Stegostoma tigrinum: one gene and its partners. The protein of the gene in region 2 binds, or shares a complex with, the protein of the main gene of each other region. Links are inferred from orthologs where the notes say so. Each region holds a gene or a part of one and is shown on either strand. Other genes may lie near its edges.

Region 1 (9,850 bases), on a different chromosome or scaffold from region 2:
CTGATATGCTTCTGATGTAGAGAAGTGTGGTAAGTGTGATCAGAGATAATGGGAACTGCAGATGCTGGAGAATCCGAGATAACAAAGTGTGGAGCTGGATGAACACAGCAGGCCAAGCAGCATCCTAGGGGCACAAAAGCTGATGTTTCAGGTCTAGGCCCTTCATCAGAAAAGGGGGATGGGTGGAGGATTCTGAAATAAATAGGGAGAGAGGGGGAAGCGGACCGAAGATAGATAGTGGAGAAGATAGGTGGAGAGGAGAGTATGGGTGGGGAGGTAGGGAGGGGATAGGTCAGTCCGGGGAGGGCGGACAGGTCAAGAGGGCGGGATGAGGTTAGTATGTAGGAAATGGAGGGATGGCTTGAGATTCTGCTTGGGAACCCTGCAGCCCAATGGTATCAATGTGGATTTCACCAGCTTCAAAATCTCCCCTCCCCCACTGTGTCCCAAAACCAGCCCAGCTCGTCCCTGCCTCCCTAAAGTGTTCTTCCTCTCACCTATCCGCTCCTCCCACCTCAAGCCGCACCCCCATCTCTTACCTACTAATTGAGAGTGGTAGGGGCGTGGAATGCGTTGCTGGAGAGGGTCGGAGTCGGCGTCATTATGGGCATTTAAGCAACTATTAGAAAGGCATATAGATGATAGTATAAGGTAGCAGTGGAGGTTACATAGATCTTAGGTTCAGGGTAAAAGTTCAGCACAATATTGTGGGCAAAAGGGCCTGTATTATGCTGTACTGTTCTATGTTCTATAAAGTCAATAAGGGCATGAACAAGGAGAATAGCCAATGTTTTTTTCCCCAGGGCGGGGGGAGTCCAAAACACTACAGCATAGGTTTAACTTGAGAGGGAAGAGTTATAAAAAGGATCTCAGGAACAGCTATTTCACACAGAGGGTGATGCATCTATGGAATGAGGTGCCAGAGGAAGTAGTGGAGGCTGGTACAATTGTAATAGTTAAAAAGTATCTAGATGGGTACATGAATAGTAAGGGTTTAGAGGCTTCTGGGCAAAATGCTGGTAAATGGGACTAGATTAATATTGGATATTTGGTCAGCCTGAATGAGTTGGACTGAGGGGTTTGTTTCCATGCTGTACAAATGTATAACTCTACTCAATGCTTTATTAACAGCTGTCTCTACCTGTCCTGGTATCTTTGATGACTTATGTGCCTATTCATTCAGGTTTCTCTGCTCCTGCACACCTTTCAGAACACATACACTTCAGAATATCCTGTCATTTGGTGTCCTTTGTATCAAAATATATCACCTTGTGCTTTTCCACACAGAACTTCATCTATCAAGTATCTATCCGTTCCACCCAACTTGTCTACTGCCTTTTGTCTTTTACATTGTCCTCCTATTGGCTTAACATTCTTCCATGGTTTGTGTCATTTATTAACTTTGAAATTGTACCCTGAACACCTAGATCTAGATTATTTATATGTATCAAGATCAGAATAGGACCCAATTGTTGTTTAAGAAACAGGCATATAATAACCCAGGACTGCATACCAGTCAGCATGACATCAGTGGTAGGTAAACTGATGGAGGCCGTAATATGGGATAAAGTAAATACACGCTTAGAGTAAAATAAGCTAATACTAGGCAATCAACATGGCTTTGTCAAAGGCAGATCATGTCTGACAAATTTAGTTAACTTCTTTGACAGGGTAACACAGGCAGAGGATAAGGGTAGTTTTGTTAATGCTGTATATTTAGACTTTTATATTTAGATCATTGGGTACATGATGGTAGGGATTCAAAGTTGTTTAAAAGATAGGAAAAAGAGGGTATGAATAGATAGGCATTTTTCAGATCAGAGACATGTTAAAAATGGTGATCACCGGGAACTGGTGTTGGAACCCTTGCTTTTTCTGATTTATATTTATGATTTGAAGATAGATGTTGAGGGAAAATCTTTAAATTTGCAAATCATTATAAGCTAGGGTGAATAATGAATTGTGAGGATGATGCTGAGTGACTAAGATAAGTGTAGAAGCAGGCCATTCAGCCCTTCGAGACAATGGCCCTCCGAAAAGCATTCCATCTAGACCCACCCCCATATCCTATCTGTGTGACCCTGCATTTAGCATGGAAACTGCACCTAGCCTGCAAATCTTTGGACTGTGGGAGGAAACCGGAGCACATCCATGTAGACATGGGAGAATGTGCCAACTCCATACAGTCGCCCAGTGCTGGAATTGAAACCACGTCCATGGCACAGTGAGACAGCAGTGCTAACCAATGAGCTGCCGTGTCACCCCTGAGGGATGCTGACAAGTTGGCCAAATGGGCTCACACTTAGCAGATGTATTTCATTGGAGAGAAATGTCAAGTAATGCATTTTGGTAGAAAAAAAAATTGACAATACAGGCTCAATGATACAACTCTGAGGGAATACAGGAGCAGACAGACTTCGGGGTTCACAAAATTCTCTGAAGGTGGCCAGGTAAGTTGAAATCATTGTTAAGAAAATTTATAGGATCCTTGGGTTTATAAAAAGACGCGTAGTCAAACCGACTGCTGTGGCCAACATGGAGATATCCTGACAGGGTTTTCAAAGATAGTAGGAACTGCAGATGTAGGAGAATCTGAGATAACAAGTGTAGAGCTGGATGAACACAGCAGGCCAAGTAGCATCAGAGGAGCAGGAAGGTTGATGTTTCCGGCCTAGTACCTTTTCGAAAATGAAGAAGTGTCTAGGCCTGAAACGTCAACCTTCCTGCTCCTCTGATGCTGCTTGGCCTGCTGTGTTCATCCAGCTCTACACCTAGTTATCTCAGGGTTTTCAAATACATCCTAATGAGGGTTAGCAAGAAGGGCAGCTTGGAATACAAGGGCATTGTGAGGGGCACCAATAATATTTGTGAAAAATTGGTCCCTGAAATAGAAGAGCTGGAGCTGGAATACAAATGCCTGGGGGATGGAAACATTGATCACAACAAAATGGAGAAAAAAAGATTTCAGTGCTTGGCATTTCCATTGATTTTGGGAAAATAGATTACATCATCTCTGTGGAAAAACTGAAATCCGTGTACAAGGAATATGGAATTATGTAGTCAGGCAATACCAAGTAAAATCATCGTGTGGAATCTTATTTATCAGCAGAATTGTTATTTAACTGCATACACTTTGTGTTATTGATTTCAATGTTTCCAGATGTGAGTTGTTTACTTATGGTATCAGTTGAACTATGGTAACACTAAAAGACTTTGTGTACTATGATATTAAACAATATCAACATAGAATGTACTTTTGAGATACTTTGCCCAATAAATCATATTTTGAAAAAAAAACAAGGAGGTGATGCTACACCTCCACAAATTATTGGTAAGACCACATTTAAAATTGTGTTCAGTTCTGGATACCTTATTTAAAGAAGGATGTTAAAGTCATGCTGTGGACGTGCCGGTGTTGGACCGGAGTGGACAAAATCAGAAATCACATGACACCAAGTTATAGTCCAACATGTTTATTTGAAAACAGAGCACTGCTTATTCATCTGGTGAGAGTTCAAAGGAGGTTTATTACAATGGTAATACGAATGAGGGATTTTAGATATTAGAAAAAAATAGAGAAATTGGGCTTATTCTCCTTGGAGCAGAGATTAAGAGGTGACCTTACTGAGGTGTTCAAAATTATGAACAATTTTGACAGGGTAAAGAAGGATATTCTATTTCTACTACTTGATATGTCAGTAACTAGTGGTTACAATTTTAAGATTGTCAGTAAGCCAGGTAGGAGTGAAATGAGGAAAAACGTCTTTACTCAGCGAGTTGTCAGCATTTGGAATGTGCTACCTGGTAGTGCAGCGTAGGTGGATTTGATAGGAGGTTTCAAAAGAGAGATGGGTCTACACATAAAAGTGATGAATTTAGAAGGTTACATGGATAGGGCCCGGAAAATGGGACCAGTTGGGTGGCTCTTTCAAAATGTGGTTCAAACACAATGGATTAAATGGTCTCCTTTTATAGTGTTAAATTCTATGATTATAATGCTCAGCCCCCAAAACCTCTATTACAAGCTGTCCTCCAGCCCATGAAATACCCACTGGCTATTAATCACTGTTTCCTAGCCCTCAACAAATTTCATATCCAGTACCGATGAATGTTCCATAAATGATCTGGAGGAAGGTACAGATGGCCTGATTAGCAAGTTTGCAGATGACACTAAGATTGGCGGTGTAGCAGATAGTGAAGGGGGCTGTCAGAATATGCGGCACAATATAGATAGCTTGGACGTTAGATGGAGAAATGGCTGATGGAGTTCAATCCAGGCAAATCCGAGGTGTTGCATTCTGGAAGATCCAATTCAAGAGTGAACTATACGGTAAATGGAAAAGTCCTGGGGAAAATTGATGCAAAGAGAGATTTGGGTGTTCACGTCCATTGTACCCTGAAGATGACAATGCAGGTCGATAGAGTGATCAAGAAGGCATACGGCATGCTTTCATTCATCGGACGGGGTATTGAGTTGGCAGGTCATGTTACAGTTGTCTCGGACTTTGGTTCGACCACATTTGGAATACTGTGTACAGTTCTGTTCATCACATTACCAAAAGGATAGAACATAGAACATAGAACACAGAACACTACAGCACAGTACAGGCCCTTCGGCCCTCAATGTTGTACCGACATGTCATACCGATCTCAAGCCCATCTAACCTACACTATTCCATGTACATCCATATGCTTATCCAATGAAGACTTAAATGTACCTAAAGTTGGCGAATCTACTACCGTTGCAGGCAAAGTGTTCCATTCCCTTACTACTCTCTGAGTAAAGAAACCACCTCTGGCATCTGTCCTATATCTTTCACCCCTCAATTTAAAGCTATGCCCCCTCGTGCTCGCCGTCACCATCCTAGGAAAAAGGCACTCCCTATCCACCCTATCTAACCCTCTAATTATTTTATATGTTTCAATTAAGTCACCTCTCAACCTTCTTCTCTCTAGTGAAAACAGCCTCAAGTCCCTCAGCCTTTCCTCGTAAGACCTTCCCTCCGTACCAGCCAACATCCTAGTAAATCTCCTCTGCACCCTTTCCAAAGCTTCCACATCCTTCTTATAATGCGGTGACCAGAACTGTACGCAATACTCCAAGTGTGGCCGCACCAGAGTTTTGTACAGCTGCAGCATAACCTCTTGGTTCCGGAACTCGATTCCTCTATTAATGAAAGCTAAAACACTGTATGCCTTCTTAACAGCCCTGGATGTGGATGCTTTGGAGAGGGTGCAGAGGAGGTTCACCAGGATGTTGCGTGGTATGGAGGGCGCTAGCTATGAAGAGAGGTTGAGTAGATTAGGATTGTTTACGTTAGAAAGATGGAGTTTGAGGGGGACCTGATCAAGGTCTACAAAATCATGAGAGGTATAGATAGCAAGAAACTTTTTCCCAGTGTGGGGAATTCAATTTCTAGGGGTCATGATTTCAAGGTGAGAGGGGGAAAAGTTTAAGGGCGCTATGTCTGGAAAGTTCTTTATGCAGAGGGTGGTGGGTGCCTGGACCGTGTTGCCAGTGGAGGTGGTAGAGGCGAACACAATAATGTCTTTTAAGATGTATCTAGACAGATACATGAATGGGCAGGGAGTAGAGGGATAGGTGAAAAATAGGTGACAGGTTTAGACAGAGGATCTGGGATCGGCAAAAGCTTGGAGGGCCGAAGGGCCTGTTCTTGTGCTGTAATTTTCTTTGTTCTTTTTTTGTATGACTACACTGGAGAGGTTACAGAGGAGATTCACCAGGATATTGCCTGCAATGAAAAGTATCAGTTCTGAAGGACAGGTTGAGTTTGTTTTATTTAGGGTACAGGAGGCTGAGTTTGTTTTATTTAGGGTACAGGAGGCTGATGGAGTTGCACAGATTTAAGAGAGTTGTTAGAAGACATAAACGATCCCTGGAGGAGGGTCATTTTGACAGCAGCAACAGGTTGTGTTTGATAGTTTGGCGGGCGCGGCGCCAAAGGAGGGAATTGAACAGACAAAGCTGAAGGACAGCCCGAGCGTTGCACAGGCACAACGGGCTGAATGGCCTCCTACGGTTTCAATGGTGATTGAATGGTTTAGTTGGCTGTAAGTGCCGAAGATTTATTCATCAATTCAAACCTGTTGTATCTGTCTGCTGCCTGGAGCTGAGACTCCGCGGAAGCAGCTGCGGCCTAACCGTGACTGAAGCCTGGGCCTGGAGTTTTACCGATCGTGGGCGCAATGCCTCAGCCCAGGCCTGAGGCGGGAGCCGAACGGTTTGTTCTCGTCGCCAGTTTAGAAAATGTGCGGAATCTGTCAAATCTGCTTAAAGCCGTTAATTTCCGAGACCAGGCGACGGTGTTCGCCTCCGCTAACGGCATCAGGGTGACAGCTGAGGCCGCCAAGAGCGTCCAGGGGAACGCGTTCATCCAGGTACCGGGGGGGTGGGAGGTGTGAGAGTTCATCGGGCGGGTGTCGGGGGTGGGGTGTGAAGGATTGGGAGGAGGGTGTGAGGGATTCAGGGGTGTCAGTGGGGTGGTGTCAGGGGAGGGTGTGAAGGATTTGGGGTGTCGGTGTGAGGGATTTGGGGGGTCAGTGTGAGGGGGAGTGTCAGGGGAGGGTGTGAGGGATTGGGGGGGTGTCAGGGGAGGGTGTGAGGGATTGGGGGGGTCAGTGTGAGGGGGATGTCAGGGGAGAGCGTGAGGGGGGGTGTCAGGGGAGGTTGTGAGGGATTTGGGGGGGTGTCAGTGTGAGGGGTTGTCAGGGGAGGGCGTGAAGGATTGAAGGGGGACTGGGAGGTGGGGGGGTCAGTGTGAGGGGAGGTGGGGGGGTCAGTGTGAGGGGAGGTGGGGGGGTCAGTGTGAGGGGGGTTGGGGGGGTCAGTGTGAGGGGTGGTGCCAGGGGAGGGTGTGAGGGATTGGGGGGGTCAGTGTGAGGGGTGGTGCCGGGGTAGGGTGTGAGGGATTGGGAGGGTCAGTGTGAGGGGTGGTGCCGGGGTAGGGTGTGAGGGATTGGGAGGGTCAGTGTGAGGGGTGGTGCCGGGGTAGGGTGTGAGGGATTGGGAGGGTCAGTGTGAGGGGTGGTGCCGGGGGAGGGTGTGAGGGATTGGGAGGGTCAGTGTGAGGGGTGGTGCCGGGGGAGGGTGTGAGGGATTGGGAGGGTCAGTGTGAGGGGTGGTGCCGGGGGAGGGTGTGAGGGATTGGGAGGGTCAGTGTGAGGGGTGGTGCCGGGGGAGGGTGTGAGGGATTGGGAGGGTCAGTGTGAGGGGTGGTGCCGGGGGAGGGTGTGAGGGATTGGGAGGGTCAGTGTGAGGGGTGGTGCCGGGGGAGGGTGTGAGGGATTGGGAGGGTCAGTGTGAGGGGTGGTGCCGGGGGAGGGTGTGAGGGATTGGGAGGGTCAGTGTGAGGGGTGGTGCCGGGGGAGGGTGTGAGGGATTGGGAGGGTCAGTGTGAGGGGTGGTGCCGGGGGAGGGTGTGAGGGATTGGGAGGGTCAGTGTGAGGGGTGGTGCCGGGGGAGGGTGTGAGGGATTGGGAGGGTCAGTGTGAGGGGTGGTGCCGGGGGAGGGTGTGAGGGATTGGGAGGGTCAGTGTGAGGGGTGGTGCCGGGGGAGGGTGTGAGGGATTGGGAGGGTCAGTGTGAGGGGTGGTGCCGGGGGAGGGTGTGAGGGATTGGGAGGGTCGGTGTGAGGGATTGGGAGGGTCAGTGTGAGGGGTGGCGCCGGGGGAGGGTGTGAGGGATTGAGGGGAGATTGGGAGGTGGGAGGTGGGAACGGTGTGAGGCGGTTGTGGGGGTCACTGTGAGCGGTGGTGTCGGGGAGGGTATGAGGGATTGAGAGGGGTATTGGGAGGTGGGGGGGTTCACTGTGAGGGGTGGTGCCAGGGGAGGGTGTGAGGGAGGTTTGGTGGCGGGTGGGGTAGTGTGGGAATATCTGGGTGGGGGGCAGGTGTGAGAATTCATCGGGGATGGTGTTACGGAGGATATGAGGGGGGGATCGGGAAAGGGAGTGTGCGTGGGGAATTGGGGTTGTGGGAGAGGATCCAGGGTGGAGGATACAGTGCAGGGTAGTTGGGGAAGGAGAATTCTGGAGTTTAGGGGCCATGGGACGATACTGGGGGAGGAGGTAAAAATGCCAAGGGCTTTGGACAGAGGAAGGGGGAAAGAGCAGATACCGGGCCCTGGGAGAGGGAAGGAAAGGAGTTGTGGCAAGTTTGGGGCTGAGTCTGGAGTCTGAAAAGAGATACTGTGGAATTTTTTGTAGTTGTATAGGAATGACTTGGATGTGGGAAGTGATTGTATTATCAACAAGATTTTGGATGATACAAAAAAGAATTTGGAAAGTTAAGAGGTGAGGATAACCAAAGAGTCTACAGAGGAACCGTCAGCGGAAAATTGAGAAATTTGTACCGAGATCTCAGTTATCAGTAAGAATAATAGGGGTGTAACTGTAAAGCAATTTAACTTTCCAGACATAAATTGTGACTGCCATGTTAAGGGCTTGGACAGAGAGGAATTTGTAAAGTGTACACAAGAAAGTTTTCTTATTTGGTATGTGGATGTACCTACTAGAGAAAAGGCAAATGTGTCTTTCTCCTGGAAAATAAGGCAGGGCAAGTGTCTGCGGTATCAATGGGGGAGCAGTTTGGACCGAGTGATTATAATTCTATTCATTTTAAAACAGTCGTGGAAAAGCTTGGACCTGATCTAAATGTTAAAGAACTAAATTGGAGTAAGTCTGATTAAGCAAGAAGTATCAACAGTTAATTGGGGGATGTTGGGGGTTGGGTATTCACAGGAAAATGGATGTCTGGAAAGTGGGAAACCTTCAAAAAATACGGTAGTGTGAAGGGCAACGCTGGTAAGTGAGGAATTGCTGGATGACCATAGAGTTGAGGCCCAGAAAGAAGAAATTATTTATCAAATATAGACAGCAGGGATCGAGTGAATCCTTGTAAGAGTATAAGGGTAATAGGAGTATTCTCGAGGGAAATCAGGATGGGAAGAAAGGAGACATGGTAGGACTAAGAAGAATCCAAAGGGACTCTACAAATACATTAAGAACAAAAGATTAACTAGGGAGTGAATAGGGCCCCTAAAAGAAGCAAGGCTGCCGATGTGTGGAGCTGCAGGAGGTAGGTGAGATACTGAATGAATATTTCGCATCAGCACTTACTTTGGAAAAGGATATGGAAGCTAGAGAACTTGGAAAAATAAATACCGATATCTTAAACGCTCCATATTACAGAGGAGGTGGTGCTGGACATGTTAAAACGCATAAACGTGGTTAAATTCTCGAGACATAATTGGGTGTACCTAGAGGTTTGTGGGAAGCAAGGGAAGTGATTGCTGGCCTCCTTGTTGAGATATCTGTATCATGGATAGCCACGGGTGAGGTGCCAGAAGACTGTTTGTTGGCTAATGAAGTGTCACTATTTAAGAAAGATGATAATGAAAAGTCAGGGAACTATAAACCAGTGAGCCTGACATCATGAGTTGTTGGAGGGGATTCTGAGGGACAGGGTTTACATTGGAAAGGCAAGGACTGATTAACTATAGTCAAAATGGCTTTGCATGTTGGAAGTCATGGCTCGCTAACTTGACTGCATTTTTTGAAGAAGTGACGAAGAAGATTGATGAAGTCAGAGCGGCGGACGTTATCTCTATGTTTGAGTGATAATGGGAACTGCAGATGCTGGAGAATCCAAGATAATAAAATGTGAGGCTGGATGAACACAGCAGGCCAAGCAGCATCTCAGGAGCACAAAAGCTGACGTTCGGGCCTAGACCCTTCATCAGAGAGGGGGATGGGATGAGGGTTCTGGAATAAATAGGGAGAGAGGGGGAGGCGGACCGAAGATGGAGAGAAAAGAAGACAAGAAGATAGGT
Region 2 (10,782 bases):
AGGTACTTCTCACTTGTTATAAAATACAGCTTCAAGGACAACAAAGAAATTACTTGAGACTTTTATTCACTTATCGGGATGTGGATATCTTTGACTCGCCCAGCATTTATTGCCCTGCCCCTAGTTGCCCCCCTTTGAGAAGGTGGGGGTGAGCTGCCTTGAACTGCTGCAGTCCATGGGTGTCCCTTAGGGAAGGAATTCCAGGGATTCTGACCTGACGGGACTGAAGGAACGGGGGTATATTTCCGAGCCAGGATGAGAGTGGCTCGGAGGGGAACTTGCAGGGGGCAGGGGTCCCATGTACCTGCTTCCCCTTGTCCTTCTGGATGGAAGTGGGTCATGGGTTTGGAAGGTGCTGCCTGAGGGTCTTTGGTGAATCTCTGCAGAGCATCTTGTAGATTGTACACACTGCTGTGACTGAGCGTTGGTGGGGGGAGGGGGGGAGTGGGATGTTTGTGGATGTGGTGCCAATCGAGCGGGGGCTGCTTTGTGCTTTTTGAATGCATACTCACTGAGAATTTGTACAGGTCAAAAGAGCCAGCTAGCATGCAGCAAGATCCAACAAATACAGCAACATTCCAGCAAGGCATCATTCAGTACTGACCCTCCAACAGTGCCTGCTCCGTCAGCAATGACCCTCCGACAGCGCCCACTCCCTCAGCACTGACCCTCCGACAGTGCCCACTCTCTCAGCACTGACCCTCCGACAGTGCATGCTCCCTCAGCACTGACCATCCGACAGTGCCCACTCTCTCAGCACTGACCCTCCGACAGTGCCCACTCCCTCAGCACTGACTTTCTGATGTGTATGTATATTACCATTCTGTATTGGTCTTCTTCACCACATTCCCAGTGTGGGTCTAACTGAGGGATAGAGAGACCGGAACTGTGCACGGTGCTCCCAGTGTGGGTCTGACTGAGGGACATAGAGACCGGAACTGTGCACGGTGCTCCCAGTGTGGGTCTAACTGAGGGATATAGAGACAGGAACTGTGCACAGTGATCCCAGTGTGGGTCTAACTGAGGGATACAGAGACAGGAACTGTGCACGGTGCTCCCGGTGTGGGTCTGACTGAGGGATATAGAGACCGGAACTGTGCACGGTGCTCCCAGTGTGGGTCTAACTGAGGGATATAGAGACAGGAACTGTGCACAGTGATCCCAGTGTGGGTCTAACTGAGGGATACAGAGACAGGAACTGTGCACGGTGCTCCCAGTGTGGGTCTGACTGAGGGATATAGAGACCGGAACTGTGCACGGTGATCCCAGTGTGGGTCTAACTGAGGGATACAGAGACAGGAACTGTGCACGGTGATCCCTGTGTGGGTCCAACTGAGGGATATAGAGACAGGAACTGTGCACAGTGATCCCAGTGTGGGTCTAACTGAGGGATACAGAGACAGGAACTGTGCACAGTGCTCCCGGTGTGGGTCTGACTGAGGGATATAGAGACAGGAACTGTGCACAGTGATCCCAGTGTGGGTCTGACTGAGGGATATAGAGACCGGAACTGTGCATGGTGCTCCCAGTGTGGGTCTAACTGAGGGATACAGAGACTGGAACTGTGCACGGTGCTCCCAGTGTGGGTCTAACTGGGGGATACAGAGACAGGAACTGTGCACGGTGATCCCTGTGTGGGTCCAACTGAGGGATATAGAGACAGGAACTGTGCACAGTGATCCCAGTGTGGGTCTAACTGAGGGATATAGAGACCGGAACTGTACACAGTGCTCCCAGTGTGGGTCTGACTGAGGGATATAGAGACAGGAACTGTGCACAGTGATCCCAGTGTGGGTCTGACTGAGGGATATAGAGACCGGAACTGTGCACGGTGCTCCCAGTGTGGGTCTAACTGAGGGATACAGAGACTGGAACTGTGCACGGTGCTCCCAGTGTGGGTCTAACTGAGGGATACAGAGACAGGAACTGTGCACGGTGATCCCTGTGTGGGTCTGACTGAGGGATATAGAGACCGGAACTGTGCACGGTGCTCCCAGTGTGGGTCTAACTGAGGGATATAGAGACCGGAACTGTGCACAGTGATCCCAGTGTGGGTCTAACTGAGGGATATAGAGACAGGAACTGTGCACAGTGATCCCAGTGTGGGTCTGACTGAGGGATATAGAGACAGGAACTGTGCACAGTGATCCCAGTGTGGGTCTGACTGAGGGATACAGAGACAGGAACTGTGCACGGTGCTCCCAATGTGGGTCTGACTGAGGGATATAGAGACTAGAATCATATTTGAATGCATCAGCCCTTTAAGGTGAAAGAACAGGAACCGTCGGAGACCATGCAGCCGTTTTGTGATCCTGTTACACAGGGACTGGAGGAGTCCTTTAGGGTCATATGTTCTTGGAGATTTACTTTGCCAGAAAAGGCCCTTTGACCCATTAAGTCTGTGCCAGCTCAAACAACCACCTTTAAACTCTCTCATCCTTTATCCCAGCTCACGCCCGTAGTGTTGTCATCACAAGTGCACATCGAAATAGATTAGATGCCCTACTGTGTGGGTATAGGCCCTGCGGTCCAACAAGCCCACACTGCCCCTTGAAGCATCCCACCCAGCCCCATCCCCCTACAACCCACACACCCCTGAACACTCGGGGCAATTTGGCATGGCCGATCCACACAGCCTGCCCATCTTTGGACTGTGGGAAGAAATCGGAGCACCCGGAGGAAACCCACGCACACAGGGAGAATACGCAAACTCCACACAGACAGTTGCCCAAGGCTGGAATCGAACTCGGGTCCCTGGTGCTGTGAGGCTGCTGTGCTCACCACTGAGCCACCGTGCCACCCAGCTCTTCAACGTCCTGAGGATTTCTGCCCCTCCCACTCTTACAAGCAGTGAGTTCCCGATTCCCACCACATAACCCATTCGTTTATCTACCCAAACCGTTTGAGCTCCATCTCCAGCTCACATTTACTGCTCCCCAACTTCAGTAAACGAGCCAACTTTTTCCAAGCTGTTGTCAGTACTGAACCTGAAACCTCAACCCTGTCTCTCCCCCAAAGATGCTACCAGACCTGCAGACTTTCTGCAGCTGCTTCTACTTTTGTTTCAGGCTTACGCATCCATGATTCATTGTTTTATTTTGGTCAATATTTTAGACATTGTCAACATCTCCTCTCTGATCTTAAACTCTGCACCTTGGCTGATTAAAGGCATGTATCCTTTTTGCTTCTGAACCACTTTATCTAACTGTTCTGCCCCCATAAAGGACCAGAGTAAATTGTCGTCCCTCTGATCCTCAATTAATTGTGTATTCCCTAGCCTCATTTGTTCTACCCGAGTGCACCCCCTCAGGCATATCCAGAATGAATTGCATTTTCCACTGACCAGCCCATTGGACCGACCCGTCTATGTCCCCCCCGACATCTCAGGATAACCTCCTCACTCCTCACTATCCCATCCATTTTTTGTATCAACCTCCTACATTCAAGCGTAAATCATTTATATTTAACATTCAGCCCCTTCCCCAGCCTGTTACACAGGGGGACAGCAGGAGGCCATTCAGCCCCTTCCCCAGCCAGATACACAGGGGGGACAGCAGGAGGCCATTCAGCCCCTTCCCCAACCTGTTACACAGCGGAACAGCAGGAGGCCATTCAGCCCCTTCCCTGGCCTGTTACACAGGGGGACAGCAGGAGGCCATTCAGCCCCTTCCCCAGCCTGTTACACAGGGGGACAGCAGGAGGCCATTCAGCCCCTTCCACGGCCTGTTACACAGGGGGACAGCAGGAGGCCATCAGCCCCTTCCCCAGCCTGTTACACAGGGGGACAGCAGGAGGCCATGTAGCTGGTTCACAGCCAGTCTGTATCATAACACTCAACACACAGCTCAAGTCCATAACCGCTCGTCCACAACCGTCCCATAGCCCATGTCAGCAGTGACTCCATCCCAGCGCTCCAATTTACAATTGATTCTGTTGTCCTGTCCACTTCTCACAGTCCAGCCCCGACAGCTCCGAGGGGACGGACAAAGCTCTAGAAACCCATATGCCTTTTCCCCATCACTTGACTTCACCCAGATCTCTGACCCAGCCCCAGTTGCCCCATGGTGGCACCCCACAAAGAAAAGCCCTTGATGCAGACCTTTCCCCATCCCGAGGTTCCTCGCTGCATGAGGAGTTCGTGAGTTGTGTGTGATCTCCTGGTCCTTGATATGTAACAGTGTGCCAACATTCACACCACAAACACTTCCATCCAGAAGGACAAGGGGCAGCAGGTACATGGGACCCCCACCCCCTGCAAGTTCCCCTCAGAGCCACCCCTCATCCTGACTCGGAAATATACCCCCGTTCCTTCAGTGTCGCTGGGTCAGAATCCCTGGAATTCCCTCCCTAAGGAACACCCACGGACTGCAGCGGTTCAAGGCAGCTCACCCCCACCTTCTCAAGGGGGGCAACTAGGGACGGAGCAATAAATGCTGGGCCCAGACAGAGATGCCCATGCTCCTGAGTGACTACAAGCGAGAGTGTGGTAACCAATTGCTCAGGGATTGGATTCACACGGAGACAGGGAAAGCTGCATTATCTTCTGCTCCCATCTACTGGACAAAGCCCAGCACAGCATCTGGAAGTGGGCCCTTTCTCTTCAGAGCAGGTCAGAATGAGCAAAACCTGTTACCTCGGTCACTCCATCCCTCTGTCAAAGTAAACCTGACGGGGTGTGTTAATAGTGTAATGATGGAATCTATCAATGAGACAGCTTAAAAGGCAGGCACTGCCCAGAGCTAGGATGTCAGGCTGGTGCAATGCCAGTCACCATTTGAAACTGTAATGACACCAGCAGTTTTCAATCAAGATCAGAATCCCTGAACATGAGGTTCAGTATTCCACAAACATTTCACTTCGACACTCAGACTGGGCAAGTTACAGATTTGAGACAGAAACAGCAGGAGGATTAATACACCTCTAGTTATCACACTCTCTCAGGGAGATATCTGTACACTGACTTGTGTCTCTCAGTCCCCTCTCTCTCTCTCTCTCTTAGGGAGATATCTGTACACTGACTGGTGTCTCTCACTCCCCCCTCTCTCAGGGAGATATCTGTACACTGACTGGTGTCTCTCAGTCTCCCCTCTCTCAGGGAGATATCTGTACACTGACTGGTGTCTCTCAGTCCCCCCTCTCTCTCTCTCTCAGGGAGATATCTGTACACTGACTGGTGTCTCTCAGTAACCCCCTCTCTCTCTCAGGGAGATGTCTGTACACTGACTGGTGTCTCTCAGTAACCCCCTCTCTCTCTCAGGGAGATATCTGTACACTGACTGGTGTCTCTCAGTAACCCCCTCTCTCTCTCAGGGAGATGTCTGTACACTGACTGGTGTCTCTCAGTCCCCTCTCTCTCTCTCAGGGAGATATCTGTACACCGACTGGTGTCTCTCAGTCCCCTCTCTCTCTCTCAGGGAGATATCTGCACATTGAACGGCGTCTCTCAGTTCCCCCCGCTCTCTCTCTCTCTCTCTCTCTGTCTCTCAGGGAAATATCTGCACACTGACGAATGTCCCTTCTCTCTATGAAGACTAACCAACAGATACAGAGACAGGAACTGTGCACAGTGCTCCCAGTGTGGGTCAAACTGAGGGATATAGAGACTGGAACTGTGCACAGTGCTCCCAGTGTGGGTCTGACTGAGAGATATAGAGACTGGAACTGTGCACCGTGCTCCCAGTGTGGGACTAACTGAGGGACATAGAGACCGGAACTGTGCGCGGTGCTCCCAGTGTGGGTCTGACTGAGGGATATAGAGACTGGAACTGTGCACGGTGTGGTGTATTTGAGGAAACTAGAGAATCTATCGCTGTGCAGACTCTGACGGAAAATGCAATTTTGGGGGGAAATGATGGGAAATCCTGTTATGTCCATCGACACAGAGTGATGTGCCGGTGGAATTTACTCCGGAACATTAGATGTTTCAAGAAGGTGTTTGATGTATCTCTTGTGTCTCATGGTTTTGAGGGAAATGGGGGGTGGTAAACGTGAGCAGTCATGGAGCTTACTTCTCAGGCATGATCATATTGACTGGTGGAGGAGGTGTGATACACTGAGTGGCCTGTCTGTGTTGGTTCCTGCTATGTTTCAATGAAAGGTGGAAGCTAGGAAATGTTGTATCAGAGACAGTGGGAACTGCCGATGCTGGAGAATCTGAGATAACACGGTGTGGAACTGGTGGAACACAACAGGCCCAGCAGCATCAGAGGGGCAGGAAGGCTGACGTTTCGGGCCAAGACCTGAGATGTCAGCATTTGGGCTCCTGACATGCTGCTTGGGCCTGTGTTCCTCCAGCTCCACCCCTCGTTACCTAGAAAATGTTCTCCTGATGGACCCTATTACTTGCCTGGCCTATGGTGCAGAGTCAGTAAACTTGAAAGTATTGTATTTGTAGTTTTACTCAGCATTAAGGTGCTTTATCATGGTAGGAACTCGACGGGCCGAATGGCCAAATGATGAAACACAATTGCAGAGTGGTTCCCCCTTTTATGGAATTTTGGTCGACACCTTTTAAATCAAATCTTAGGGTGTGTCGGCTTTAAGAGCCTGCGGGGCGGGCGGGGCCTTTTAAATAGTGGCACATCCGGGTACTGGGCCTGCGGGGCGGATTTAGGTCCGGCCAATGGCAGGGCGTTTTGTTTGAGGATGAATTGTGGTGGGCTCAGCCAATAGGAGAGCGGTATATGGGAGAGGAAGCGTTCGGGTCGAGGATGCGGTTCGTGGTGACAGGCGGCAACGTGAGCGGTATGGCGGGGGGAGGGGAGACATAATCTTAACCCTTAGCCCCTCACCCCTCACCCTCTCACTGCCTCACGCTGACTCCTCCCACTGACCCCTCGCCCCCTCACCCTCTCACTGACTCCTCCCACTGACCCCTCACTGCCTTACCCTGACTCCTCCCACTGACCCCTCACTGCCTTACCCTGACTCGTCCCACTGACCTCACGCCCTTACCCTGACCCCTCCCACTGACCCCTGACCCCTCACTCCCTTACCCTGACTCGTCCCACTGACCTCACGCCCTTACCCTGACCCCTCCCACTGACCCCTGACCCCTCACTCCCTTACCCTGACACCTCCCACTGACCTCACGCCCTTACCCTGACCCCTCCCACTGACCCCTGACCCCTCACTCCCTTACCCTGACTCCTCCCACTGACCCTCACCCTGTCTGTCCCCTTTCCCTGAACCTAAGCCCCTCCCCCTCACTCCTCCTGACCCCTCAGTCCCCCTCCGCCCCGACCCCTCAGTCCCCCTCCGCCCTGACCCCTCAGTCCCCCTCCGCCCTGACCCCCCTGTCCCCCTCAGCCCCCCTCCGCCCCGACCCCTCAGCCCCCCTCCGCCCCGACCCCTCAGCCCCCCTCCGCCCCGACCCCTCAGCCCCCCTCCGCCCCGACCCCTCAGTCCCCCTCCGCCCCGACCCCTCAGTCCCCCTCCGCCCCGACCCCTCAGTCCCCCTCCGCCCTGACCCCTCAGTCCCCCTCAATCCCCCTCCGCCCTGACCCCTCAGTCCCTCTCAGCCCCCCTCCGCCCTGACCCCCCTGTCCCCCTCAGTCCCCCTCCGCCCCGACCCCTCAGTCCCCCTCCGCCCCGACCCCTCAGTCCCCCTCCGCCCCGACCCCTCAGTCCCCCTCCGCCCCGACCCCTCAGTCCCCCTCCGCCCCGACCCCTCAGTCCCCCTCCGCCCCGACCCCTCAGTCCCCCTCCGCCCCGACCCCTCAGTCCCCCTCAGTCCCCCTCCGCCCTGACCCCCCTGTCCCCCTCAGTCCCCCTCCGCCCCGACCCCTCAGTCCCCCTCCGCCCCGACCCCTCAGTCCCCCTCCGCCCCGACCCCTCAAGGTTTACACTGTTGCCTCATTGTCTACCCGCGAGACTGAAGTGCCAGCAATTGCAGAAATAAAACTCCAGAAGCCCTGCCGAGAGAGGCCACAAGGTCAGGTGTCGGTGACTGGGAACAAACACACAAATCGCTGGAAAAGCTCAGCAGATCTGACCGTGTCTATGTTCTTGTTTCTGAGGAAGAGTCACCGGATACTACAGCTTCACTGACGCTGCTGGACCTGCTGAGCTTTTCCAGCAATTTCTGATTATGTTCCCAGTAACTGACCCTCCGACAGCGCCCGCTCCCTCAGCACTGACCCCCCGACAGTGCCCGCTCCCTCAGCGCTGACGCCCCCGACAGTGCCCGCTCCCTCAGCGCTGACGCCCCCGACAGTGCCCGCTCCCTCAGCGCTGACGCCCCCGACAGTGCCCGCTCCCTCAGCGCTGACCCCTCCGACAGTGCCCGCTCCCTCAGCGCTGACCCCTCCGACAGTGCCCACTCCCTCAGCGCTGACCCCTCCGACAGTGCCCGCTCCCTCAGCACTGACCCTCCGACAGTGCCCGCTCCCTCAGCACGGACCCTCCGACAGTGTGGCGCTCCCTCAGCACTGAATAACATGCGCTGATGACTTACAGTGCTTAATTGGACGTAATGCTCTGTCATTGATAAACTTATTTTGTGAATATTTTCTGGATTTAGTTATTGGGAGAGCAATACACGCACTCTCGCGGATTGGTGAAGACTGTTACCTTGAGGCATTCGATGAAGGAGTGAGTATTATTGCATGGAAAGATGAAAGCAAGAAGTGGAGAGCTGACACACCAGTCAGTGTACAGATATCTCTCTGAGAGAGAGAGAGGGGACTGAGAGACACCAGTCAGTGTACAGATATCTCCCTGAGAGAGAGAGAGGGGACTGAGGGACACCAGTCAGTGTACAGATATCTCCCTGAGAGAGAGAGAGGGGACTGAGAGACACCAGCCAGTGTACAGATATCTCCCTGAGAGAGAGAGAGGGGGAACTGAGAGACACCAGTCAGTGTACAGATATCTCCCTGAGAGAGAGAGAGAGAGGGGGTACTGAGAGACACCAGTCAGTGTACAGATATCTCCCTGAGAGAGAGAGGGGGGACTGAGAGACACCAGTCAGTGTACAGATATCTCCCTGAGAGAGAGAGAGAGGGGACTGAGAGACACCAGTCAGTGTACAGATATCTCCCTGAGAGAGAGAGGGGGGACTGAGAGACACCAGTCATGGTACAGAAATCTCCCTGAGAGAGAGAGGGGGGACTGAGAGACACCAGTCATGGTACAGAAATCTCCCTGAGAGAGAGAGGGGGGACTGAGAGACTCCAGTCAGGTACAGATATCTCCCTGAGAGAGAGAGGGGACTGAGAGACACCAGTCAGTGTACAGATATCTCCCTGAGAGAGAGAGGGGGGACTGAGAGACACCAGTCAGTGTACAGATATCTCCCTGAGAGAGAGGGGGGACTGAGAGACACCAGTCAGTGTACAGATATCTCCCACAGAGAGAGAGAGGGGACTGAGAGACACCATTCAGTGTACAGATACCTCCCTGAGAGAGAGAGGGGGGACTGAGAGACACCAGTCAGTGTACAGATATCTCCCTGAGAGAGAGGGGACTGAGAGACACCAGTCAGTGTACAGATATCTCCCTGAGAGAGAGAGGGGGGGGACTGAGAGACACCAGTCAGTGTACAGATATCTTCCTGAGAGAGAGAGAGAGAGGGGGGAATGAGTGACATCAGTCAGTGTACAGATATCTTCCTGAGAGAGAGAGAGGGACTGAGAGACACCAGTCAGTGTACAGATATCTCCCTGAGAGAGAGAGAGGGACTGAGAGACACCAGTCAGTGTACAGATATCTCCCTGAGAGAGAGGGACTGAGAGACACCAGTCAGTGTACAGATATCTCCCTGAGAGAGAGAGAGGGACTGAGAGACACCAGTCAGTGTACAGATATCTCCCTGAGAGAGAGGGGACTGAGAGACACCAGTCAGTGTACAGATATCTCCCTGAGAGAGAGGGGACTGAGAGACACCAGTCAGTGTACAGGTATCTCCCTGAGAGAGAGGGGACTGAGAGACACCAGTCAGTGTACAGGTATCTCCCTGAGAGAGAGAGAGGGGGGAATGAGTGACACCAGTCAGTGTACAGATATCTCCCTGAGAGAGAGAGAGGGGGGACTGAGAGACACCAGTCAGTGTACAGATATCACACTGAGAGAGAGAGGGGGGGAACTGAGAGACACCAGTCAGTGTACAGATATCTCCCTGAGAGAGAGAGAGAGGGGACTGAGAGACACCAGTCAGTGTACAGATATCTCCCTGAGAGAGAGGGGGGACTGAGAGACACCAGTCAGTGTACAGATATCTCCCTGAGAGAGAGGGGACTGAGAGCCACCAGTCAGTGTACAGATATCTCCCTGAGAGAGAGAGGGGGGGGACTGAGAGACACCAGTCAGTGTACAGATACCTCCCTGAGAGAGAGGGGGGACTGAGAGACACTAGTCAGTGTACAGATATCTCCCTGAGAGAGAGAGGACTGAGAGACACTAGTCAGTGTACAGATACCTCCCTGAGAGAGAGGGGACTGAGAGACACCAGTCAGTGTACAGATATCTCCCTGAGAGAGAGGGGACTGAGAGACACCAGTCAGTGTACAGATATCTCCCTGAGAGAGAGAGAGGGTGGACTGAGAGACACCAGTCAGTGTACAGATATCACACTGAGAGAGAGAGGGGGGGGACTGAGAGACACCAGTCAGTGTACAGATATCTCCCTGAGAGAGAGAGAGAGGGGACTGAGAGACACCAGTCAGTGTACAGATATCTCCCTGAGAGAGAGATAGGTTTTGGACTGAGAGACACCAGTCAGTGTACAGATATCTCCCTGAGAGAGGGGACTGAGAGACACCAGTCAGTGTACAGATATCTCCC
Region 3 (10,862 bases), on a different chromosome or scaffold from region 2:
TCCCTATTTTCTGCATATAAACTGACGTTTCCTAGCCATCATCAGTTTTGAGGAAGGGTCACTGCATCTGAAATGTTAACTCTGCTTTCTTTTCACAGATGCTGCCATACCTGCTGAGGTTTTCTGGCAACTTTGTTTTTGTCACTTTTTGTGTCTGGGCTCATGATCCTGGGTTTTAATTTATCCCATTCAAAAAAATTTACAAACGATGGGTGAAAGAAGTATAAACAAAAAGCAATTCCTCCCTCTGCACTGAATTTGCAGGTCGCCTCCAAATTCCCTGAACCATGTTCAGGCTCAAGCCTTGTCTCACTCTGTGTTGGCTACAATGGTATCTCTCCCTACTCACCATGTAAAGCCTATTGATTATTGATTATTATCATAATAATTCACTGGAAGTCTCTTAAGAATACATTCAATGACTGACATCCACAATAAATAATAAAAAATAAACATAATTATGGTCTATCAAGTAAAGAGATCTGACTTGTCCCATATTACCATCATTTGAGATCATAACAGAACATACATTCTTACTGGGACTGAAAATTTTTGGGTTTAAGAGAGATCTGTCAATCTTCTAGAATGAGTTTGTGTAAGTAGAATGTAGAAAAGAGAACAGCCCTGAAGAATGCTATCTGAATTGGAATTTCAAAATGACTTTTAACTGTTGCTAAGACTTCTCTTAAAAACATTGACAAAAGCTAAACTAACAGCTTCAGTGGATAAGTTGGGGTGTAAGTAAAAGCAGGATCTCAGAAAGTTCAGGTACTTGATGTAACTACACAGCATTCAGAGTTGAAGGGAGAGAAATTTGAAATTGACACATCACTGTTTCAATTAGTTAAGATATGAGACATGTTTAGAATTTGCAAGAAAAAAGGATCTGTGGGAACTGTGATTTTGGTTACTGAAATTGAGAGTAGTGTGCAGCAAGTAATGAAAATCATAATTACAGAAGAATTCCAAAGTAGTATTCCAGTCATGGACAAGATTTATTTAAGGGAACATCTAACACCAAAGGTCCAGGACATGGTAGTTATGGGGAGACCTTTGATATCTCACACAGTTACACATAGGAAAATGATCATATGTGTAGGCATTAATACTGCAACCATATAATTTGAAAATAATTTACAGATCGGAAAGAAACAAGATTATAATGGATACTCTGTCAAGAGCAAGACAGGAAAACAAATGTTGCGATCAAAGTGGACATGCATCAAATTTGATTGCTATGGCAAGTTGCCTATGTATTTAATACATTGGGCTGAATCGTACAATTTTTGACGAAGTCCAAGTTGTGTTGAGTTTTGGAGAAACATAAAAAGATGGAAAATAGGAGCAGGAATAGACCATTTGGCCCTTTGAGCCTGCTCCGCCATTCTTCACGATTGTGGCTGATGCTTTCTCACCATAACCTTTTATTTCATTTACCCCTAGTGCTCTATCTAGTTGCTTCTTGAATCCAGTCAATGTTGTGGCATCAACCACGTCCTGTGATAATGAATTCCACAGGCTCACCACTCTTTGGGTAAGAAATAACTTCTCATCTCTGTCCTAAATGATCGACCCCAAATCTTCATACTGTGATCCCTGGTTCTGGACACACCCACCAGCAGGAACATCCTCCTTGCATCGACCTTGTCCAGGACTGTTAGAATTTTATAAGTGTCTATGATATTCCAACTCATTCATTGGAACTCTTGTGAAACAATCCCAACCAGGTCAAACTCTCCTCATATGTTTGACCCACCATCCCTGGAATCAAAAGAGAAACAGAAGTTGCTGGAGAAGCTCAGCTGGTCTGACAGCACCTGTAAAGAAAAATTCAGAGTTAACGTTTTGGATCTGGTGACCCTTCCTTCTGTCTGGACCTGAAACGTTAACTCTGATTTTTTTCTTCACAGATGATACCAGACCTGCTGAGCATTTCAAGCAACCCCTGTTTTATGCCTGATTTACAGCATCTGCACTTCTTTTCATTTTTATCCCTGGAATCAGCATGGCAAACCTTTTCTGCACTTCCTTGGGAGCAAGAGCATCCTTCCTCAGAAAAGGAGGCCAAAACTGCACAACATTCGAGGTGTGGCCTCACCAAGGCCCTGTATAACTGCGACAACAAGGCTGCTCCTGTACTCAAAACCTCTCGCAATGAAGGTCAACATACCATTTGCCTTCTTTACCATGCGCTGCACCTGCGGGTTTGTTGCAGTGAGGCTGAGTTAGCAAATTCAACTCTTTAATTACCAAACCCACTCTTATGAATTATAACTGGAATTTATTGTCACAGATCATCAAGTATAAAAACACAGGAAATCCAAATTTACTTTATCTACTCTGCTTGTTTCATCCTCAAAGACCGTCATAAATTTGTGCAACACAATTTCCCTTTCTCATGACTATTTTGACTCTACCTGCTTGTTATAGTTAGCTAAATATCCTGCAATTCGTCCTTTGATAATGGTTTCCGACATTTTCTCAATGTCATCCAATCGTTCCCTAAAATAAATATAAAAGAACTTTGTGCACAGAGTTTGAAATTGTTGAAATTCAGCAGAAATAAGCATTGTGTCAATTTTATCATGCTTCATGGATGGCTCCTCTCCATGAGACCTGATGAGATTTCTATTTTCCAAAACTTACCTCTTTACGAAAGAGATAGTCACTGAGGTTGGAATTGAACATAGGTCACAGGCACTGCGAGGCAGCAATGATACCCACTGAGCCACCATGCTACCCATTGTGCCGTCATTCCATTTATCCTTACTCTGTTTCCAATTTCTAGTACCCTGCAACTTATATATATTGTGTTTTTCCTGTCACACTCTGATTACCATCATTCGTACTATTATTTCAAGTCCTCTCTAAAGTCCTAGTCATTCAGTTTTTCGGGTCACTGGCTCCAGAATGACTTAAGCAAAGCCAGTCTCAGTATTACAGTATAATAAAGTGTGAAGCTGGATGAACTGGATGATTGGGGAACCAAGCGGAGGCTTGGGGACCGCTTTGCAGAACACCTCTGCTCGGTTCGCAATCACACAACCAGCCCAGCTCTTTCCCTCCACCCACTGCATCCCAAAACCAGCCCAGCCTGTCTCTGCCTCCCTAACCTGTTCCTCCTCTCACCCATCCCTTCCTCCGACCCCAAGCCGCACCTCCATTTCCTACCTACTAACCTCATCCCACCTCCTTGACCTGTCTGTCTTCCCTGGACTGACCTATCGCCTCCATACCTCCCCACCTATACGCTCCTCTCCACCTGTCTTCTTTTCTCTCCATCTTCCGTCCGCTTCCCCCTCTCTCCCTATTTATTCCAGAACCCTCACCCCATCCCCCTGTCTGTTGAAGGGTCTAGGCCTGAAACATCAGCTTTTGTGCTCCTGAGATGCTGCTTGGCCTGCTGTGTTCATCCAGCTTCACACTTTATGATCTTGGATTCTCCAGCATCTGCAGTTCCCATTATACCCAGTATTACAGTTTCTGTTTTCTGCACTGCTGGTGTCAGTGCCTTCAGAATTTAAACCCATTTTTTCAGCCACACATTCTTTTTGATTTTAACATATGCCAATTTGCTTGTGCCTCAGGTAGTAATTCAGCAGTTAGCTTTGCAGTTTTTCGATTTAATTTTGTCTCTCGTTATTCATATTCCCTTAGCACAACCTCTTTCTTTCCATGTCCTATCTAAGCAATTGGTAGGTTACTCACACAATATCAACACTTTTTTCACCTTGATCAAGTTAGTGAAATATAACTTGCCTTGAACAAATCCATTCCAGCTTTCCTAACAATTCTGCACTTATCTAAGTGTCTGCCAGTTTTGTTTTGAATAATCACCTCATAAACCTTTCCTACCAGAAACATTAAATTGGAATGGTCAATAGTTCCTGGGTATATCCTTACATCATTTCTTGAACACAGAATGATTTACAAAAAAGTTGTCATTGATGCAGCAGATCAATTCACAGACCTTTGGGTTACCAATGTACCAGTCTGGTCACATTATTTTTCAGCATTCCACAGATGCTGTCAGACCTCCAAAGAATTTCAATCATTTTGCTCTTCTACCACTATGTTCACACATTTGACATAAACATTACATGAGGTCGGCATTGCAATCCATCCTGTGTAGTCAACTGAATGTTATTCAGTCTTTCACTGCATGTTATTTTTTCATCTCAAATTGAATGTGGCTTTTCCACGTAAAATTTTGTTCTTCTGTGCATTGGTTATTCCTTCAACTCACCATGGACAGCCATTTCTTCAACGATCAACTGCTGATATTTGAAATTTCCTCCATAAACCTCTTTGCATCTATACCCTAACCTTCTATAAGGCAGTTTGTAAAGCCATCTCTGTGACCAAGCTTTTGGTTAGATTAGATTAGATTCCCTACAGTGTGGAAACAGGCCCTTTGGCACAACAAGTCCACGTCACCCCTTGAAGCATCCCACCCAGACCCATCCCCCTATAACCCACACAACCCGGAACACTACAGGCAATTTAGCACGGCTGATCCACCTAGCCTGCATATCTTTGGACTGTGGGAGGAAACCGGAGCACCCGGAGGAAACCCACACAGACACGGGGACAATGTGCAAACTCCACACAGACAGTTACCCGAGGCTGGAATTGAACCCGGGTCCCTGGCACTGTGAGGCTGCAGTGCTAACCACTGAGCCACCGCATTGCCTTTGCTTGGTTGGGTTTCAGTTTTTAGTTGATTATGGTGCCCGGAGCTTTTTACAACATTGAAAGGATTATTATCAATTCAAAGTGACATGAGTCAACACCAGCTGTAATGTGATTCTCATGGACCAAATATGCCCTCATGTATCTCCCTGTGTATGGCATTCACACTACACTTTTGTCTCTCTCTGCTGCAGATCCAATAAATTGCAATCAGTGGTTTCAATCTTGCCTGTCAAAAAAGATCATCATTCACCAAAAACAAAAGCAGAAATTGCTGTTGACACTCAACAGGTCTGGCAACAACTGTGGAGAGAAGCATTTCAGGTCCAGTAGCACTTCTTTAGAATTATTGTAGCTGGGAAAATGTTGGTATATATACTAAACAAGGGGTTAGGGGTTAGGGAAGGGGAAGGAGTAAACCACAAATGGAGATAGAGTGCAGAGAGAAAGAGAAATATTGTTGAGTAGACAACAGAATGGATAAAGATCAGCCTGGGAGAATGAATAGCCGTATAGGGGAACTATTAGTGACTGACAATGGGTTGTTTGTGATAGCAGCTCATGTGATGACAAAGCATGGGCTTTGAGTTGGGACAGGGGAGGAGCTCAGGCCCTAAAATTACTAAAATTGATATTGAGTCCAGAAGATTGCCAGGTTCCCAAGCAAAAAATGAGGTGTTGTTCTCCCAGCTTGTGTAAAGCTTCTCTGTTGCACTGTCAGAAGTCACACTTTAGCAGACTGTAGTCCACCAGGTTTATCTGAAATCACAACTTCTGGAGCACTGCTCGTTTGTCAGTTCGAAATTCTTTTCCTTCGGTTTACTGAATTTTCACCTTAAAGACTCCTAAGAAACCCAGCCTTGGGTCCCTTTCCTCAGTCTACCCATTCCCTCCTCTGACATTATTTATGCACATGCTACAACTTGATGAAATGACCTTCCCTTGGATCCAAGATAACAAAGTGTGGACCTGGATGAACACAGCAGGCCAAGCAGCATCTTAGGAGCACAAAAGCTGATGGTTCGGGCCGAGACCCTTCATCAGAAAAGGGGGATGGGGAGAGGATTCTGAAATAAATAGGGAGTGGGGGGAGGCAGACCGAAGATGGATACAGGAGAGGATAGGTGGAGAGGAGAGTATGGGGGTGGAGGAAGGTAGGGAGGGGATAGGTCTGTCTGGGGAGGATGGACAGGTCAAGGGGGCGGGATGAGGTTAGTAGGTAGAAAATGGAGGTGCTACTTGAGGTGGGAGGAGCAGACAGATGAGAGGAAGAACAGGTTAGGAAGGTGGCGACGAGCTGGAGTGGTTTTGGGATGCAGTGGGGGGAGGGGAGATTTTAAAGCTGGTGAAATCCACACTGAGATGATGTGAACTGCAGATGCTGGAGAATCCAAGATAACAAAGTGTGAAGCTGGATGAACACAGCAGGCCAAGCAGCATCTCAGGAGCACAAAAGCTGACATTTCGGGCCTAGAACCTTCATCAGAGAGGGCCCTCTGATGAAGGGTCTAGGCCCGAAATGTCAGCTTTTGTGCTCCTGAGGTGCTGCTTGGCCTGCTGTGTTCATCCAGCTTCACACTTTGTTATCTTGAAATCCACACTGATGCCATTGGGCTGCAGGGTTCCCAAGTGGAATATGAGTTCCTGTTCCTGCAACCTACAGGTGGCATCATTATGCCCTGCAACCCATCCAGACAACCAGCATCCACACCGCAGAGATAGTAAGAACTGCCGATGCTGGAGTCAGAGATCACAGAGTGTGGAGTTGGAGGAACATAGCTGGCCAAGCAACATCAGAGGAACAGGAAAGTTGATGTTTCGGGTCTGGACCCTTCTGCAGAAAAAGTCCCGACCTGAAAGGTCACCTTTCTTGCTCCTCTGATGCTGCCTGGTTTGCTGTGTTCCTCCACCTCCACACTATGTTACATCATCCACACTGCTCCTGGTGCTCAGGTGTCTATTCACCATCCAGCCCTACCCTCCCTGGCGCACAGGAGACGAGTCCTCGCCCCTTACCCGGGTAACCAAGTGACCTTCCTCTCGAGTACAGGAGACCGCCCCTTTCCCTCCAAACCATCTTGGCCCTTGGCTGTTGTCGTGGTAACCAAGCGGCGTCCAGTCGGAGCGGAAGTGATGTCGCGCGTTGACGAGCTCATTCTATATCCGGTCGACGCAAGGATGAAGTTTAGAGGGAAGATCGTTGATGTTGGTTGCTTAAATCATTTTACCCGTAAGTCAGTAAGATGAAGCCGGTCTTTTCCTTTCTTGGATAGTCGGAACTGCAGCTGCTGGAGAATCTGAGTTAACAAGCTGTAGAGCTGGATGAACACAGCAGACCAAGCAGTATGATAGGAGCAACATCATGCTGCTATGACGCTGCTTGGCCTGCTGTGTTCATCCAGCTCTACACCTTGTTATCTCTTTTCCTTTTTTGGTCAGGGTACAGCTCGTGTGGATGCTGCAATGACCTCTTGTTCAATCTTTTTTCAAATTCACCCAGTTCTGTTTCAATCTTTTTTCAAATTCACCCAGTTCTGTTTCAAGACTTGTCCATAAGTCCGTTACTGTTACTGTCACTGAAGCCCTATTCACATTTTCCTTCACATCTTCATTTTTTTAAAACTCCAACCTTGTTCTGTAGATGAGTTATAAATTACCCCACAATCCATTCGCTGCACTTTCTGGTCACTCATTACCAAACCAGGTTTTAAAACTCTGTTTTTGGCTGAGAGACGTTTTGTGCTTTTTCTCCAGCGGCTCAAACTTTTGTCGGTTTTGTATTTTCCCACCTCTTTACATACTCCCTCAATTTCACCTTTGTTGATGGCTTTTAAACGTCTTGAACCCTCTCTGAAACCCCTTCAGCTCCTGGAAATCCACCCAATAATGAAATTCCATAAAGTAACTTGCCTTTTAGATACCTGTCTCAAAACATAGGCAAATATTTGATACCATTATGACAAGTATGTACCCTTTCTATATTTGAGTAAAACAGATGCAAATTATTATTATGACAAGATGACATGGAAGTGTATGCTATTTTGCTGTTTTCCAATGGTGTAGCATTATCATAAAGGAAAGTGGACAACTAATTGCACATCACGCAATCTCAAAAATAAGGGAAATTTGTGATGGGCAATAAATACTTAACTAGCCAGCAATGCCCACAACTTGTGAACAAAACATAAATTTGCTGAAAATATAAAGATACAAGGAGTCTTTAAAAAAAGTGTATTTAAATAAGTGAACAAAATTTGACAGATGGAATACATTTGGGAAAACATGACATAGAACATTACAGCGCAGAACAGGCCCTTCGGCCTTGATGTTGCGCTGAACTGTGAAACCAATCTGAAGCCCATCTCACCTACACTATTCCATTCTCATCCATGTGTTTATCCAATGACCATTTAAAGGCCCTTAAAGATGGCGAGTCTACTACTGATGCAAGCAGGGCATTCCATGCCCTTACTTCCCTCTGAGTAAAGAACCTACCTCTGACATCTGTCCTATATCTATCACTCCTCAATTTAAAGCTACGTCCCCTCGTGCTAGCCGAGGAAAAAGGCTCTCACTGTCCACCCTATCTAATCCTCTGATCATCTTGTATGTCTCTATTAAGTCGCCTTTTAACAGCCTCAAGTCCCTCAGCCTTTCCTCATAAGACTCCATACCAGGCAACATCCTGGTAAAGCTCTTCTGCACCCTTTCCAATATTTCCACATCCTTCCTATAATGCAGTGACCAGAACTGTACGCACTACTTCAAGCGTGGCCACACCAGAGTTTAGTACAGCTGCAACATGACCTCATGGCTCCGAAACCCAATCCCTCTACCAATGAAACCTAAAACACTGTACACCTTCTTAACAACCCTATGAACCTGTTTGCAACTTTCAGGGATCTATGCACATGGACACCGAGATCTCTCTGCTCATCCACACTACCAAGAATCATACCAATTGGCCCAGTACTCTCTATTCCTGTTATTCCTTCCAAAGTGAATCACCTCACACTTTTCCGCATTAAACTCCATTTGCCACCTCTCAGCCCAGCTCTGCAGCTTATCTATGTCCCTCTGTAACCTGCAACGTTGTTCCGCACTGTAAGTGACATTTCCACTTTGGCAAAAAGAATAGAACGTTAAAACTTTATATAAGGGGAAAAAGAGAATCCAATTTATGGGGAAAAGGCGGAAAAGTGGTGTTTAGAGTGAGATCAGCCACGATCTCATTGAATGGCAGAGCAGACTCCATAAACTGAATGGCCTACTTCAACTTCAACATCTTACCGTCTTGAAGACAGCAGGATGTTGCAGAACAGAAGGATCGTGGTGCCATTGTACACAATTGTGGAAAGTCAGCCTGCAGGTACAGCTAGACTACGTCTGAAATGATTGGAGAGTTACTGCACTTCTTCACTCAAACTTTTAATAGGTGATAAATTTACCAGAAACAATAATAAAGGCTTTGTTTCTATTGTAAAATGAAATTAATTTTTGGTCTCTTTCTGCAAGAAAGGACAGAAATGCATTTGGGGTCAGCAGATTGGCCTTTTTCTCATTGTAGTTTAGAAAAATGAGAGATGTATGTTTCTAAGGAAATTTGACAAAGTAGATCCTGAGAGAAGTCTTCCTCTCTTGAGGGAATCCAGAGCTAAAAGGCTTAAATTAAAAACAGGGAATCTCCTATTTCAGAAGGAAATGAGTAAGAATTTTTTCACTGAGGACCATTCGTGTTTGGAATTCTCTTCCCTAGCAATAAATGGAGGGTGGATCATTGAATAAATGCGAAGTTTAATTTGACACATTGATTAATAGGGAATCGAGATTTGTGGGGAGCAGGCAGAAAAATGGAGTTGCTTATTTTTAGTTTATTTGTTCGATCTGGCTATTGCTGGCTGGGCATTTATTGCCAGTCCCTCATTGTGGGGGAAGAAAGGTGGTGTTGCGTTTCCTTCTTTAATTGCTGCAGTCACGGAAGGGTACACCACAGTGCTGTAAGGAAGGGAATTCCAGGATTTTGATCCAGTGACAATGAAGGAATGGTGATATAGTTCCAAGTCAGGATGATACATGGTTTGGAAGGGAAGTTTCAGGTTGTGTTGCTCGCATGCATTTGTTTTACATGGTTGTAAGTTTCAGAAGTGTTATTGAAAGAACCTTAGTAAATTTATGCAATGCATCTTGTCAATGGTGCACACTGTTGCCACTGTATGCTGGAGCTAGAGGAATGAATGTTGAAGGTGGTGGATGTGTTGCCAATAAAGTGGGCTGCTTTGTCCTCGTTCATGTCAAGTTTTTTGAAGGCTGCTGGAGTGGCACACTTCGAGGCAAGTGGAGAGTACCTCTCCACAATTCTGACTTGAGCCTTGTAGATAATGGACACTTTCAGGAGTCAGATGATAAGATGCTTGCCATTGAAGTTTTGACTTGTGCTTGTAACCACTGTATGTATTTAGCTATTCCAGTTCAGCTTCTGAGCAATGATAACCTCCAGGAAGTTCATAGAGGATTCAGCAATGGTAATGTCGTTGAATGTCATGGGGGTAACAGTCAGATTCTGTTTTATTGGAAATGATCATTGTTTGGCTCTTGTAAGGGACAAGTGTGGCTTACAATTTATCAGCCCAACCTGGATATTGTCCAGGTATCATTGCTTGATTATCCAATGCTTCCATCCGGGAGGGTTGGTAGTGTAGTGATAATGCAACAGGACTAGTAATCCAGAGCTCCCACCTTATTCTCTGGTGACATGCTTTAAAATCCCGCCCTGGCAAATGGTGAAATTTGATTCAATAAAAGACAACTGGAATTTAAAATAAGGCTAGTCTAATGGCATCCATTGTCATAAAAACCCATCTGGTTTACCAATGTGTTTTAGGGCAGGAAGCCTGTCATCCTGACCAGATCTGGCCTACATGTGACGACAGACCTACAATTTGGTTGACTTTTCATTCCTGTCTGGGCAGTTGGGGATGGGAAATAAATGCTGGACCAGCCAGCAAAATTCCATACTTCATGAATGAGTTTTAAAAAAGTACCTGAGGAGTCTTGAATGCTGCTAAACGTTGTGCAATTATCTGCAAACATTTCTACTTCTGACATTATGACAATGAGAACTAAGCAACTGAAAATGGTTGGTCCTAGGAGATGACCCTGAGAAACTCCTG

Evidence for each region.
Region 1: the proteins of cell cycle checkpoint control protein RAD9A-like (region 2) and rad1 are in contact, whole or in part, in a crystal structure (PDB 3GGR), measured with the Homo sapiens proteins. The link is inferred for Stegostoma tigrinum from reciprocal best matches to the Homo sapiens genes RAD9A and RAD1. Residues at the interface, in NP_004575.1 of Homo sapiens: Leu76, Ser82, Val83, Ser86, Leu90, Lys92, Leu112, Phe116, Gly117, Val118, Arg119, Lys120, Thr121, His122, Asn123, Leu124; in NP_002844.1 of Homo sapiens: Glu165, Ala166, Ser168, Glu169, Asn195, Ala196, Gly197, Ser198, Ser199, His200, Leu201, Asp202, Tyr203, Pro204, Asp206, Ser207, Glu211.
Region 3: the proteins of cell cycle checkpoint control protein RAD9A-like (region 2) and hus1 are in contact, whole or in part, in a crystal structure (PDB 3GGR), measured with the Homo sapiens proteins. The link is inferred for Stegostoma tigrinum from reciprocal best matches to the Homo sapiens genes RAD9A and HUS1. Residues at the interface, in NP_004575.1 of Homo sapiens: Leu157, Pro158, Pro161, Val176, Ala186, Lys191, Ala192, Met193, Val194, Thr195, Glu196, Met197, Cys198, Leu199, Gly200, Asp203; in NP_004498.1 of Homo sapiens: Thr84, Asn87, Arg90, Ala91, Lys93, Thr94, Phe110, Ser121, Ser123, Ser126, Arg127, Ile128, Val129, Thr130, His131, Asp132, Ile133, Pro134, Ile135.

The regions. Positions count from the first base shown.
Region 1 is NC_081369.1:67,979,927-67,989,776, forward strand, and holds the start of rad1 (cell cycle checkpoint protein RAD1), read left to right. Parts: upstream 1-5,606; 5' UTR 5,607-6,207; coding exon 6,208-6,399; intron 6,400-9,850. UniProt on the Homo sapiens protein: Component of the 9-1-1 cell-cycle checkpoint response complex that plays a major role in DNA repair. The 9-1-1 complex is recruited to DNA lesion upon damage by the RAD17-replication factor C (RFC) clamp loader complex.
Region 2 is NC_081399.1:1,877,049-1,887,830, forward strand, and holds the start of cell cycle checkpoint control protein RAD9A-like, read left to right. Parts: upstream 1-6,669; 5' UTR 6,670-6,683; coding exon 6,684-6,744; intron 6,745-8,521; coding exon 8,522-8,592; intron 8,593-10,782. UniProt on the Homo sapiens protein: Component of the 9-1-1 cell-cycle checkpoint response complex that plays a major role in DNA repair. The 9-1-1 complex is recruited to DNA lesion upon damage by the RAD17-replication factor C (RFC) clamp loader complex.
Region 3 is NC_081355.1:94,444,531-94,455,392, forward strand, and holds the start of hus1 (checkpoint protein HUS1), read left to right. Parts: upstream 1-6,828; 5' UTR 6,829-6,870; coding exon 6,871-6,922; intron 6,923-10,862. UniProt on the Homo sapiens protein: Component of the 9-1-1 cell-cycle checkpoint response complex that plays a major role in DNA repair. The 9-1-1 complex is recruited to DNA lesion upon damage by the RAD17-replication factor C (RFC) clamp loader complex.